2 linked regions of the Stegostoma tigrinum genome follow. The protein of the gene in region 1 interacts with the protein of each later gene in a biochemical or structural test. Links are inferred from orthologs where the notes say so. Each region holds a gene or a part of one and is shown in the gene's direction. Other genes may lie near its edges. The genes, in order: transducin-like enhancer protein 4 and pax5.

What was found.
Region 2: the proteins of transducin-like enhancer protein 4 (region 1) and pax5 form a complex in vitro, tested with the Homo sapiens proteins (2 studies listed by BioGRID). The link is inferred for Stegostoma tigrinum from reciprocal best matches to the Homo sapiens genes TLE4 and PAX5.

What each region holds. Positions count from the first base shown.
Region 1 is NC_081356.1:63,210,198-63,217,415, reverse strand, and holds the start of transducin-like enhancer protein 4, read left to right. Parts: upstream 1-4,082; 5' UTR 4,083-4,629; coding exon 4,630-4,653; intron 4,654-4,927; coding exon 4,928-5,025; intron 5,026-6,300; coding exon 6,301-6,364; intron 6,365-6,494; coding exon 6,495-6,539; intron 6,540-7,218. UniProt on the Homo sapiens protein: Transcriptional corepressor that binds to a number of transcription factors. Inhibits the transcriptional activation mediated by PAX5, and by CTNNB1 and TCF family members in Wnt signaling.
Region 2 is NC_081356.1:12,203,296-12,210,496, reverse strand, and holds the start of pax5 (paired box protein Pax-5), read left to right. Parts: upstream 1-3,985; 5' UTR 3,986-4,031; intron 4,032-4,186; exon of another isoform or gene 4,187-4,191; 5' UTR 4,192-4,336; coding exon 4,337-4,376; intron 4,377-7,201. UniProt on the Homo sapiens protein: Transcription factor that plays an essential role in commitment of lymphoid progenitors to the B-lymphocyte lineage. Fulfills a dual role by repressing B-lineage inappropriate genes and simultaneously activating B-lineage-specific genes.

The sequences.
Region 1 (7,218 bases):
ATGACGGGATGAATAGCCTCATGTGCTTTAAGATTGAATGTATGGGAAAGTTAGAAGCCAAATCATATTTGGTTATTCCAGCACATCCTTGCCCAACTGAGCTGCCGTAGAAGAACCCAAAAATAGGCGACTATTCTGATACAGATAGTAAAAACCACTGATGCTGGAGTCAGAGATTACACAGTGTGGAGCTGGAGGAGCACAGCAGGCCATGCAGCAACAGAGGTGCAGGAAAGTTGAAGTTTCATGTCGGGACCTTGATGCTGCCTACCATGCTATGCTCCTCCAGCTCCACACTGTGTTATCTCTAATATTCTAACAGAATCTGGGCTTTATTTGGTGAGTGCAGAGAATCTTAGAGTTTGTTCTTTCTGACAAGGTCTGCAGCACATGAACTGGGCTGGAGGTGAAGCCTTCAAACATTTGGAGTTTCCATAGGCCTGAAACATCAGCTTTTGTGCTCCTGAGATGCTGCTTGGCCTTCTGTGTTCATCCAGCTTCACACTTGGTTATCTTGGAGTTTCCATGTGTTGGGTTATTCAAAGTACAGACCTGTTTGAACATCCACACACTCAACTTCTTTGACCTCATTTTCTGCCAACTTTACTGACTTGCTCCCTCAAAAATGACCTTCTCAATCTATCTGTCCACTTCAACTCCACTTCCAACTTCTCTGCTTGTACAAGATCACTAAGCCTCGTGCTCACCTTCCAGTTCAAACTCTCTTCATTTCAACTAAACAGCATCTTAATTCCCCAACCCTAAAATTTTTTGGACCAATAAATAATTTTTTACTTCTATTTCAACCTGGCGTCCTTTCCAAAATTAATACTTAGGGTGAACTTCTCAATGTCTGTTCTTGGTGCATCAGAATATTGGTTCTTAATGTTAAACAATGGTGAGCAGTGGGGCTTTTACTTCAGGCTCGGCTAAACAAAAGAAATACTTTTAGGAGCCTTACAGCTCTTGGAGAATATAAATGTCCTCCCCATCTCTGCAGGTTACATTCAAAAGTGGAATCTACAGATGGAAGAATATGTTTGTACCTGATACTAATGTTGAATTTTGGAATACCCAAGGAAACAAAAATTAGAAAGGTCGAGGCCATAATAAATCTTCAGAAATATCGCAGAACAGAGAGGTTCTTGGACCACAACTTCACTCCTTTTCTATTTCTGGCTCAATGTCACCCTTTCACACTTTGGCTTATTTACCTTTCTATTTTGAAACGAACTGTTAACTCACTACCCGTACACCTTGCGTTTCTCGTCTTAACGAATTTTCGCAACAACCCCCGCACAATTTTTCGCAGTTACCTCAACACGAACTGCAGAAACCATTGATTTTAAAATGTATTTCATTTTCAATCTTGTTACTAAGAATAAGAGAATCCGGAAAGCTAATTCATATCTGACTATCTAAACTTAATGTTACATTATTCATCATGCTTCCAAACACAGTTGATCCTATAATCTAAATTCATCTTACAAGGATATTCAATTGGGTTGAAATTCTCCAGGATCCGTAATCGACTCCAGAATTATCCATGCAAAGGCAGCATGCACCATGACAGGGACAGTCGCGCTTCTCGTAGTTCTATGTGAAGTAGAAAGCAACATCTTACCTTTTGTTAGTGGCCGCCTCGGCGACCTGAAAAGCCTGAAGGGTACCAGTGTCACCGTTATTCAATATCTCCGTGCTGATTTAAATTTGGTATTTGCCTCTTTATTTGCATATGCAAGGATCCTCACGCCTGTTTTAGACAATCTTGTCAAACGCTATTTTGCCGTCTTTAGACCACTGGACGAAAATAAGAGGCTCATTTTGAACCATTTTCCGCCGGTAAATGGGGATATTAACAACTGATTTCTAATAGAATCCAAATACTAGTGATTAGAATTGAGATATATCCAATGCAAAAATAAAGACCCCAATACATTAATAAAGACCCCAATACATTAACTCTGAACTCATTGTGAATAATGCCTACAGCTATTTGAAAGGTACAGTTTTAATTACTGTTTTAAACAGCGGTGATAAATTTCTTCTGTCTTGTAGTCACAGTTTATAATGAAGAATTACAAGTTTGAATGAAATAGACACAAGTTGCGGGCGAGATATACACCTTTTAGCAATTAGAAAACCCGGAAGGGGTGGGCAGATTTTGAGATTTCAGTTAATGTCTTTCTTTATTGTGAAAGTTCTTCATAAATCTTAATGTCCTCAATAATTAATGCCTTGCTGGTTACATAATGACAAGGGAGTGGAAAACTCAATCGCTTTAACAAACCAATTTTAGAATACTCTGGATAGCCTACATTGAAACCAACTGCTTAGTCGGTGTAAAACTTGCCTGTGATAACGATCGTTGTGCTTTAGTCACTTCTAAGTACTTACTGCTCCCAATTAAATGCCAAATCTTATACAACTCTCTTAATGATGTGTCTTCTATGTCATTCATTCAGAAGACACCTTAAAATATGTGTCACATTTCCTGTTTGGAACGTGGGCCAGTTAAGTTTCAAGAGTATTATGGAGCATTTATTCCACTTACAATGTTGCCAGAAATATGTAAATCAAACAACTGAAAATTGACACAAACACAACTACACTTTGTTTTCAAACTGAAACTCCTACCAGAATCATTTAATCAAAAGATGGGCTGATAAGAATGTAAACAGAATATGGCAAGAACAAAAGGAAACACTATCTCACAACATAAAACAGAAGCACTTTGTTATCAAGGGAAGGCTATTACGTTTTGAAATCTTTTGCCGGAAGGAAAACAGCGTTACAATAGAAACTGTACAAATGACGAGAACACCACTCCATCGGCCGTCTCCGCTGCTCCCAATCTTGCCACCAAATCAATTTTTGGACTATACCAGAGCGGTCTAATGGGAGGAAAACTGAATTAGCTGTAAAAGATATTATTTCAATGACATTATATTCGCGCCCCTTTTAATTAAAATTCAGATCTAAGGCAACGATTTAGCCAGCGTCTTGTACAGTGGTCACATATTACTTATTTGTTCTAGTTGTGTTTTGAATGTCGGCCATAGTGATGGATCGAATCGCTACAAGTTTATGTCTCCGTTTCTGCCTTCCAAAGAAATATTAGCATCACAGCAGTCGCGAGCGCTTCTATACAGAAAGTAGCCAAAAATAAAACTGAAATTATCTTTTGGGTATCATCTATGTTCCTTCCAGAATCGCTCTGGGGGAAAATTAATCAATAAAAAGAAAACACTGTTTTCCTGAGGAAGGAGTGAAAGCGTTAATGTGGTGAGGCATAATTTTCGACATGCTTGCTTTTGAATTGGGTTTTGTTATCCAAAGTTAAAACATGTCAAATTCTGGAGGTGCAAGCCAAGTGCTCCTCCACACCTCCCGACTCCATATCCTTGCTCACCTTTACGGAGCCTTGGGGATCCCCAACCCTCTCTGTAATGACAGATTGCTCGAGTATTTTGCAAAGAGACATTCGACCCTAATTAACCAACACTGCAGACAGCGTTCGGATGGAATAAAGCATGAGAGGAAAACACTCTCATTTCACCTAACGCCGGCAGAGCCCACGTTACTTTGATTGACAGATGAACAAATGTTTCCTCTTTTTTTCCCAACTTTCCGCTTTCGCTGGAGGGTTAAAAAAGAGCCTGAGCACCCAGCGAAAGGCAACGCGCTCTGCGCCGCCAGGCGTCAGCCGTGCACTTTTTACTCACTCTCATTGGTCCATTCACTAGCCCTTCGTCACCCCCCCACGTGGGGAACAACAACCAGGACCGTTCGTTATTGGCCAGCACTGGAGAACGAGAGGGCGTGGCCAACATGCTTCTGCTCGGCGATTGGCGGATGCGTAGAAACAGACGCGCAACGGGATGAGTGATGGAAAGAGAGGCGCCGCTCGCCATTGGGCCGCAGATCAAAACGGCAGCGGTCGGGGCTGTGTTTGCGCCGCGCAGCCTAATGGGCATTGTAGTTAGAACGGCGCGTGTAGTCCGTAGTCTGCAGCTCGGAGCAACGGACGAATGGACTACATATCCCAGGGTCCATCTGTACACCGCGCCCTGCCCCTAGCCCCGCTCTGCTCCGCTCGGCACCGGGTGAAGTATCTCATCCCCTGTACCTCCTCTTTCCCTCGCTGAAGTGAAGTTGACCGGGGTGTGAATCTGTAAGAATGTTAATGACACGGCGTTTCTAAATTTGGTAAACACGAGTCATTACTTCGGTCTGTTATCGGATGAAGGGCAGGGACGAAGCTGCTGCTGTTGCTGCCGCCGCCGCTGCGGCCACTCCGCCTGCAGCCCAGCCTCCTTGTCCCTCTCCCACGGCCAGTCTGGACTCACAGATGCTGTGAGGCAGCTTCGAGTCGCTGCCCGGCATAGCAGGATCCCGGATCGGAGGAAATCTCCCGGAGAATCTGCAGTCTTCATCCCGATGCTCCACTTTTTTTCTGTTTGTTTCATTCGCTTTCTGGGGGGATCGGAGAGATTTAAAGAGAGGGGCAGATCATTGCTTTCCACCGGATCGCCTACAACTTGGTGACTTTTTAAATTAAGGAACTTAAATGACACTAATACTGACCTGATCGACCGAGAAGGCTTTTGGTACAAAAATCCCAGCGAGATGTATCCTCAAGCCAGACATCCTGTGAGTGTGTTCGTGTGTTGTATTTGTGTGTTGTGTTTTTGTATGTTTTATTTTATCTCCCTCCTCTTCTCCAAACATCTCACACGGACAATCACAACGCGAGCTTTAGCTTTCTCTCAACACGCCTTTAATTATAGTCTTTCAGTAAATATTTGGAGACGTGCAAGGTGCAGTGTTTCCGTTCGCTTTGTCAATAACGTGAAGGAATAGCAAATTGATGGGATTGGCGGACGACTTGTCTCGGTACTGATGCTTTTTTTCTCTCTATTTCTAGGCGCCTCATCAACCCGCACAGCCCTTTAAATTCACCATCTCCGAATCGTGTGATCGCATCAAAGAAGAATTTCAGTTTTTGCAGGCGCAGTATCACAGGTAGATAGAATAGCTTTTTATGTAAAGAAAACCTGGCTACGTTGATGTTTCTGGAAGTACAAGCTAAGTGCAATTCTACAAATTGGGTGAGGATATTTAAAACGTCCTTTTCTTGCCGTCTTCTTTTCGCAGAGATGGGGCTATGGTATATATTGTCCACACTTGGTGTTTTGCATGTAAGCTTCTATTTCCTCCTATTTAACAGTCTGAAGGGAAATGTTCTCTCGGTTACTACTGTTTGGATGGTGTACGAGTGCAAAGCTCGCACTCTTTGTCGTGTTGGCAGTGAAGACAGATTTGTAACATCAATACAATGGGGTACTAAGGTTACTTGCTTCAACTGAGTCGTTACATTCTGTTGAATTTCTTCCGAAATGTTTTAAAAACAAGTGATCGGAACGGTTGTGAGGGACTCCGGACTCGGGTTATCGCTGTCCTCAATGCACTCAACGTTTCGATATTATTTTTAAATCATAGTGTTCTGATTTCCTTTCATTCGCGTTCACATTTTCTCTTTCATGTGATGTGACGGTGAAGGAGCAATATTCTCTGAGAGATTGCACTTCTTTCGGCTGACATGTAGAGGCTACAAAGTGTGAAACAATCACATCTTTTATGACTGGAACGCCCCCAAAGCTGCATTAAAAAAAAAGTTATGTACAGCCCGGCAGATCTGCAACTTCGATTCATTTTTGTTTGAAAAATATGCTGCATCACTTTTTTTGAAATCGCTTTTCAATAGTTGTATTTACATACTTTTTGAGGTACGGCGCGTTTTGTCTTTTCAAATGTTGGGATCCTGTTTTGCTTTTGTTTTTGCAGCGAGTCTAAACTTTATAAATTACACAATTTGGCTTTGTTAGTCGTGGACCAAGTATTGCTTTCTTCAGAACTCCTGTATTTTTGTACCAATTGAGTTAGTATTTTTAATCGTTAAATAATGGTTTCCTTTTCGGTTCTAATGAATTGAGTCTATTGAAAGAAATAACGTTGACGCATTTGTCAATGTTTGCATGTGTCAGGTTTGGGATTCTACTTGTACTTATTAAAATCACTCTTAGAATACATACTGTCACATTTGTCATGTACTCAGAGTTGGCGTCATAAATCATTTCTAGAACAACAAAACATGGTACAGTACTAATTAAGTGCACCCTGACTTGGTAAGCCCACACTTCTAATCATCCGGGTGAGATCGTTTACGCAGAGTAGCCTGCAGCGCAGTCTATGAAATGTCCAGATAGCGTCTTGAACAATTTTTCTTTATTTAAACAGTTTGAAATTGGAATGTGAAAAGCTGGCCAGTGAAAAGACTGAAATGCAACGCCATTATGTCATGGTAAGTTTAAACATGACTCTTTTTAAAATAATGGCAGATGTTGCTAATTCACCATATTTTTCAGTTTTTGTGACTGTGAATGCAAAAATCAAGATGGCTTTACGAACAATATCTTATGTTCTTTTCACAGTATTATGAAATGTCTTATGGTCTGAATATAGAAATGCACAAACAGGTAAGAATCTTTCATTTTCGATAAATATTTGGGGGATATGTTTGTTACTTGAACATGTGATATTGGGCATTGAAATAGACTTACGCAAGTGTGTCATAAGATTTTGAAGAGGAGAAATTGAGAGTTCTTTGCTGAAAATGGCAGAAATTTACAGGATTATTGAACTCCTTAAGGAAGATGTACATTACATACTACCTGCTGTATTGTTTAATAAACCAAAATCATGATAGTGGGACACATCTTGTTGCTGAAGTTTATTCCACGTGACGTGTATGTATTGTGTTTTGAACAGCTGTGAGAATCACATTTCAACAATGTCTTCAGCATGAAAATAACTTCTAACATCCAAACTATTATCAAACCAACATTTTTTTCTTTGTCATTTGAGAGTCAGGAGGTTTAAAATGCAAACATGGTGGCTGAAATTTGTAAGATTGTGATGGTATCTGAAGCTTCCAGTTCAGGACTTTTCTGTTGATACTGGCTATTTTAAACCTATCTCAACAATGGTACCTAACTATTCAGAATTTCAGATAGTACAACCCATGCCGTGCAATGTTATTACTTGAAATCGAGCCCCAAAATCTAAGTGTTGACCACAGTCTCATATCCTTTTTGACATGATTTTAAAAACACTCATTGATTGTTTGCCTGTGTTTGGAGTAATAAATCTTTCACT
Region 2 (7,201 bases), about 51 Mb from region 1:
GACCTGCAACCACCAATCACCATCTCTTACCCTTTCCTTAGCCCCACTGCCTCCGCATATTTACTTTTGTGCTTCCCTCCCCCTCCCTAGCCCTGATAAAGGGTGTCCTCCAGAAAGGTTACTGCTCCTTGGATGCTGTCTGACCTGCTGTGCCTTTCCAGCCTCACACCTAGAGACACTGATTCTTATGACTAAAGAACAATGAAACATTGTTTAATGTTGAAATACGATCATACTGAAATAGTAAGTGAGGTTAAAACTCTTGTATAGATCACCTGTAGTAAATTGAATTTTAACATTTTTGCACATTGTGTATTTAATTTGGATAAAATAAAACTCAGACTTTGTGTGATTTTATTGATATTTGTTGATATATTTTATTAAGAGCTAGAGTTATGAAACTGAAAGGCCTGGAAATATCTAGAAATACTTGCCGACAGTGTAAAGGGAAGATTTCCCAGTGCCTAAATATAAGGTGCAGAATTAAAACAAACTGAGAAGGTAACTATTAAGAATATGACTGCCCTGTTTATCTTGCTGTTTTTTGAATCGGTGCGAAAGATTATTCCAACTATGCTCTCCAGGTGACTGTCATTCATTAGTTTGCTTTTCAAGAGTGATGTAAATCTATATATTTCGGTTTCGATTATCACCTCTGGTTCAGTTCCTAGACCCCACCCCCGTCAAGAAAAATCTCCACGGAAATACTGTCGCAGATCAAATGTCATATTTACCAACTGGATCACTGTACCAGATTTTTTTTTAAGATTTGGAATTTTCTCCGAAACTTTCTTCTAAAGCTAGTGGAGTAATCTTGTGATCAGTGTAGACTTGTAAAAGGATTTGTGTGAGAGATGCGAATTCCGATCAAATTGAACTGTTACATTTCAAGTGAACAACATCGGTTGTCAACCCTTGAATTTAGGACTTCACAGACTTACACAACTCGACCACATTTTCCCATCAGTTGCTCCCACGGCTCCAGACCAACAATCCTGACACTTCTTAGTCCCGCTTGCCTTTTACCAAATTTCTCAACGAGACTGTTGAATCATCAGCATTTGGATTAACGAACTCCATCAGGTAAAAGTGAAATTTGGTGACACTTAGACTGCCATTGGGCTTTTAGTTTTATCTTCGGCGCAGCGGGCGAAACGTGAACACAAGATACATTTTGAAAAATAATAAAAATGTATTCCTGTATCCCTGCGTTGTTAACTGACGTATGACGAGGAAACTGACAGCCAAACTCACACGGCTGGAGAGAAAAATCTGAATTAATACCGACGGCTACACAAATTGAAAGAACGAATTGAAAATGATAAATTATCATATATCCACTTGTGAAAAAGAGATCTAATCTAGCCACGTTGTTGGCAGGGCCATTGTTTTCAGTGAAGCCTGTTTAAAGTTTTGAATAAGCATTTGAGGCTACGAAGGCTGAAGACGATGTGCTCTGGAGAAGAGCACCTGGATTAAAACAAAAATAGATACGTCAGATTGAGATTGACATCAGTTTCGTTGATATACTGATAAATGTTAATTGTATAGGTTAATTCTAGAGACAATAAAATGTGGTAACCATTTTGTCCCGCTTCGTACAATTACGTGTAAAGGGATAGTCAGAAGCAGTGATGTTAGTAGGTTCATCTAATTACAGTAGGCTAATATCAGCGAGGAAACGAAACGTAACACATTTTAATGTAGTGTGTACAACTCACTATCGATCATATTTCAGATACTTATTAATCAGTTATAAGTTTTCAATACTTGTGTCAGTAGGTGGACACAGTTTATAGCGTTATACTCGCACACCATTTCAAAATACTAGATATCTGCAAGGATCATGAGATTTAGTGACTTGGTAAAACGCAAGTTTCAACTGTTTTTGGGATGAATTATGCGTGCAAATATGTTTGACGTGTTTTACTCAGTTCAGTGGATTTCCATGTTTAATGATCTTGACCAAACCCAGGAATCTAGACCCCGTTCGAGACCAGTGAGGATGTTAAACAGATGGGGTTAGAGGGTGGGAAATAGAATTGATACATAATTAAGATGACAGCGGGCATGATAATTTCTTTCTTAAGTTCGGAGTTAGCTTGGAAGGTTACAATACAACTTGTAAGTGAACTTGTATTATTTTGACCCTTCATTAAATTGCCCTTCCACTTATCAGCAAGAGAATCTTCAGCAGTTGTGTTGGTTTTAAGGTTTTAATAAAATGATTAAAGGTGGATGACCTGAAGATAAAAGGTCACGTATCTCCTTTTAAATATTTTAGAAAGGATCATTTTCCACTGTCAACATTGTAAATTTCATAAAAGTTTCTAATTTGACAACATTCCCTGGTTAGATTGTTTTAAACCAAGCGCTGGCCAAAATCTGAGAGCTTGGTTCGTTCTGTTGCATATGTTTTGCAGTCGATATCTAACTGGCCCAGAAACTTTCAAACGCCGCGATTCTGTGTCAATTGCTGAAAAAATATTTTCGATTGTTTGATGCAGAGTGCAATCATTTCATTTAAATTAAACCAATATGGTTTAGATTTTAGTGGCGATCTTGTTTTAGCACACCTGTTTTAGTTCATTGATGAGCTCTGACGTTTAAATAAACGATTAAGACGTATCACCTGAAGCCTTTTGGAAAAGAACAAAGACAAGGTCGTCCCTATAGAGTTTGCTCTTGAGCCTGGCTAGTTCAGAACGAGTATTTTAGCATCCTTTGGATTTTACCTGTAAACCGTACGCGCTTTATAGACCGACAGACTCAGGAGTAGAGTTTGGGAGAAATGTTTCCATAAAAAAATTCCGTGTTCTGAACTACAGTACTTTAGGATTGTAGGCTTTAATATAAAAAGGAAATGCATTTTTGTTCATAGACATTTTTGGCAGGTTGGCTGGCCCTTTTTAACATACACCAAAAATATGTGAGTACAGCAGGTCAGAGAAATATGAATTGAGAAGCGTTGGTATTTTTATCCTTTAACATTTACTTTGAGGTTTCTCATGATGTTATATCTAGCAAAAATATGTTATCTCGGTAATTTACGTGTAAGTTTGCTTTTGCGGTGTGTCATTGGTTAAATAGAGAAATATATTAGAGAACACGGGAAAGTTGCGAGCACTGTCGAACTGACCCGGGTTCCACTCACTTGAGTTTTAATTTGACTGAAATCAGTACCATTTGCGCTTCTGCAAAACGATGTAAACATTCACCACCCCCGCTCCCTAAATAAACCCAGGTTGTGACACAAAAGGCGATAAAGTTACACGGAGATCACTGTCTAATGTTGAAATGCGGTGGGAACCGTACATTAGTGGTGCAAGTGTGATTACCTGTCTCAGTTACTACTATTCTCCGTACCGCAAAATTTGATACCATTTCAGAAAGGGCTGAAGATAGAAGCGCGGCAAATTGTTTTTCCCCCTATCTGTAAGTGTAGTAATCGTTCAGAAGCAAAATCTTGTTTTAATATATCAAGAAAGTATCCGGTCTGAAACAAAGGGCGGGGAAGGGCATTCAGTTCATTATCTTTGCCCACCCCCAAGTCCTATGAAAAGAGAATCAATTCGATACAATTTGTAAACAACCTCTGCGTTTATATTTAAGGAATAAACCGAAATCAGGCAAGTGGGTGCACGGAGCCGACAGGGTTTCAAAGGAGGGCTACGGATTTATTTGCATTATTGCTCCTGAGATTTGGTAGCAAGTATTTGGTTTCTCGAGGCAAATTAAAGGACAATGTGGGGGGTGGTTGGGGGGGGGGAGCTGTAGCGGTAGACAATGATTGAAATGATGGGAAAAAACAGCTTTTGATTATTCAGAATGTTAGAGCAATGCTTTGGTCGGTTTGTGATGTAGCATTTCACAATCCCAATCCTCAAACTGTGGAAAATATTTGCAGATGCCGGCCATTACAATCGGACTGATTCGCGGGCCGAAACCAGGAGATAGGAGGCGAGAGAGTGAGAGAGACAACGTCAAAGTTACCAGGAACCCCATAGGTGGGAGTGATTCGTCCGGCAGATGTAAGAGTTTTACTTTCTTTTCGATTGTGTCGAGGGACTTTGCGATTTTTTTTCTCCCTCTAAAGGCGAACAGGACATGATCTCACATGTAGCGAGCTCTTTTAGTTCCTTAATCATTTCACGGTTTGTTCAGAGCCTTTTCTCCACCTAAAACGTTTAGTTTCGGATCAATGGGCAGCACCAAAGACGCGACGGGGTAGCGGAAGAGTCAAATTATTCGGAGCCGACAAAACACGCACACATACCGAAACGGGGCAACTTTTCTTCCAATCTTTTCACAAAGGACTCGAAATCCCAGAACCGGCATGGAAAAAAATAGCAACGCACTCAGGAGTGTCCGATCAGGTAGGTTCATTTTTTTAAAAAAAATCTTTCTGTGAAATAGGACGTAAAAGCAAGAAATGACTGCCTACCAGCTTCGCGTTTAGTTTACAATTAAACAATATCCGTGTAAAACTATATGAAGTGTTTAAACACTTGTTTAAAAGTTAAAGAATTTGAAATAGTCAATTGATGGTGAATTGTCGTTCAAATCATGGGGAATATTTAAAGTGAATTTTGACAACTTAAAGTGAACACTGAACGTAAACAAAGAGGAAATGTATCTCTGGGTGCGAATATCTGTGCATGCATTGCCTGTCTTAATTGAGCAGGTCGGTGGTTGATCATCTGGTTTGATGCTGATTTGAGAGTGGTTTCCCCTTCACAGCTGAATTTGGTGGCCTTTTCATCCTTTGTGGCAAACTGGGATACAAACCCGCCCGCGGTTTCGCTGATCTCGAAAGATAATGAGTGATCGCTGCGCAGTCAGCAGTTACAACATTTAAAGCAATACTTTTGGTTCATGTTTGAGATCAAAGAGTAGTTTGGTTTCCATTGAATATTTGTAACGTGGCGGTTGCCAGCAGTACGCACGACGCAAACCTACTGAAACCGGGTCTACAGCTGAATGTACTGAGAGGAAAAAGCACTAAAAAGAAGACACGCAGTTCACCGCAAACCTCTGTTTTCATGTGCGAGAGGGACATTGGCGCTGCTTGTGTGTGTGTGTGTGTGTGCGCGCGCGCGCGCGCGCCGATGGGGGGGGGGGGGGGGATGTTATTTGTAGATCTTATTTTGCTGTTTTTCAACATTAAAATAGCTAAAGTGCGTGCAACTGCCTGAGCTGGTTGCCACGTCCTCCTTTTCTTTGCTCAATTCATATCGATTGTATTTTTCAAAATTAAGTGTCTCGACTGTTCAGTAGACGCGCTGCGGGTGCGGGCGATACCGGACGTTCAGTTTCGGAGATTAATAGAAAATAGAAGTTGACTTGTTGATTAAAAAAAATCCTCCCCCAACCCTTGTCCCGGATACTTTTGAAATAACCGTCTACCGCTACAGCTTAAACATGAACTCCACATGTGAAATCAGAATATAGGAGGCCTCTATGGAGAACTGAAATTGACTCGCCCTGTTCGGTTTGTTGATAAACATTGATATAAAACTTGCCGGTGAAACTTGGCGTAGCAAGAAGAAACCCAGAGAAGTTGTTTAAAAATAGGTTAAAAAAAGGTCTCTTTTGGGTTGTCACGGGTCCAACACATGCTCTTTGGCCGAAATAAAGCAATTGCATAGAACGTTTCATCGGCAAATTGAAACCAGCTTTACACACATTTCTTTGCAAATATAGCTTAGTAAAATGAGGTTTGGGTGGGAGGGTGGGGGAAGGGAGTGTTGGTTTTACTGTAATGAAATCTGTCTGATTTGGGTTCGCCGGTAACTTTCTCCACGACGCCCGCTGAACCATCAAGGCAACTTTCTCCAATCAGTTTCTCAACACAGGGCCCATCAATTCCGATAAATCCACACGATTTTGCTCGTTCACTTTATAGACTAAAATGTAAGGCAAAATTGAATTGACGAGGACAGTTTCAAAGTCGATTTAAACCCGGTGTCCGGATTCAGTCTAGGGACTGGGAATTAAGTCTGCAAATGTGAAACTAGTATCTTCTCCAGTGTGAAATGTGTATGGGTCTGTATGTCTTAAAATAATAACTTTGTAGCATTTGGTCACAAACAACATCTCCTTTTGATTTGCTTTACTTTTAAAGTGATAGGCCGCGAACACACCGAACATGGTGGAGCCGGGCGCTGAGATCTTGCTTCTGAGAACTGCAATGGGGGAACAGGTTGTAGAGGGAACGGGGCTGGTGGCCGATATCTCGGCGTGTGAAACGCCATGTGATTTTCTGCGAATTTCAAACCGCTGTTATTTTCCTTATTTGAAAATTAATTCAACAGGTCCGCTCAGCAGTTTGTTCGCCAATACCAATTAAACCAGTCTGTGGCTTCTGATGTGATGGTTCAGATCGGTGGACTTGTTTAGCATTGCCTGGTCTCCACTCAGCACCTCCCAACCCCCACTGCTCTTTTAAAACATTAAATCCGGTTATAGATAATGGTTTATTTTGCAAGGAAGAAGTTATTCAATGAAACACAATCCCGAGCTTCCAAAGGTAGAAAGGCCAATAAGGACACAGCCCCGTAAGCCCTGGCGTTTATCGGTCGCAGTTTTATCATTTTTTTTTCTATTTAGGATAACAGTAGTATGCACTCCGGCTGCTCTACCGGGCGCTCTATCACCAAGGCGCTTTTGCTCTTCCTCTCAATGGCAATGTACTAAAAAAAACAAGAAAACGAGTAGGACCTTGAACAGGTTTACTCAAAGAAAAGCAGGCCGCATTTAATCTCAAGTGTTTTTCGGCGTACGAATTTGAAATCTATCACATAGTTCACGAGCAATCACTGCAAAAAAAGAGTAGGTTCATGTGCCCTTCAGTCCCTGACAGATTGACTGACCCCTCCGCCCTTCCCCAGTTCAGCTTCCGAAAGAATCTTGCCCAGTTATTGATCATAAAGGGCTCCAGTTGCCGAGCTTGACACCAGAATGAATTTGTGCCATTCTGGGACATTAACTGCTTTTCCTGTCTGTGACCCGTGAAATAATCTATATCATTGTTTACCTACAAATCCGAGCTGACAGATGACAGGGTCGAAATCCTTTGTATCAGCACGTGCGAGCCACGCTTGTTCGGTATGGCCTGGCCTGTTTTAAAATGCTGCCTTTGTTAATTAGTTGCCTTTCTGGTGATGAACTTTACATTGTCTGCCTCTATATTCATGTCAAA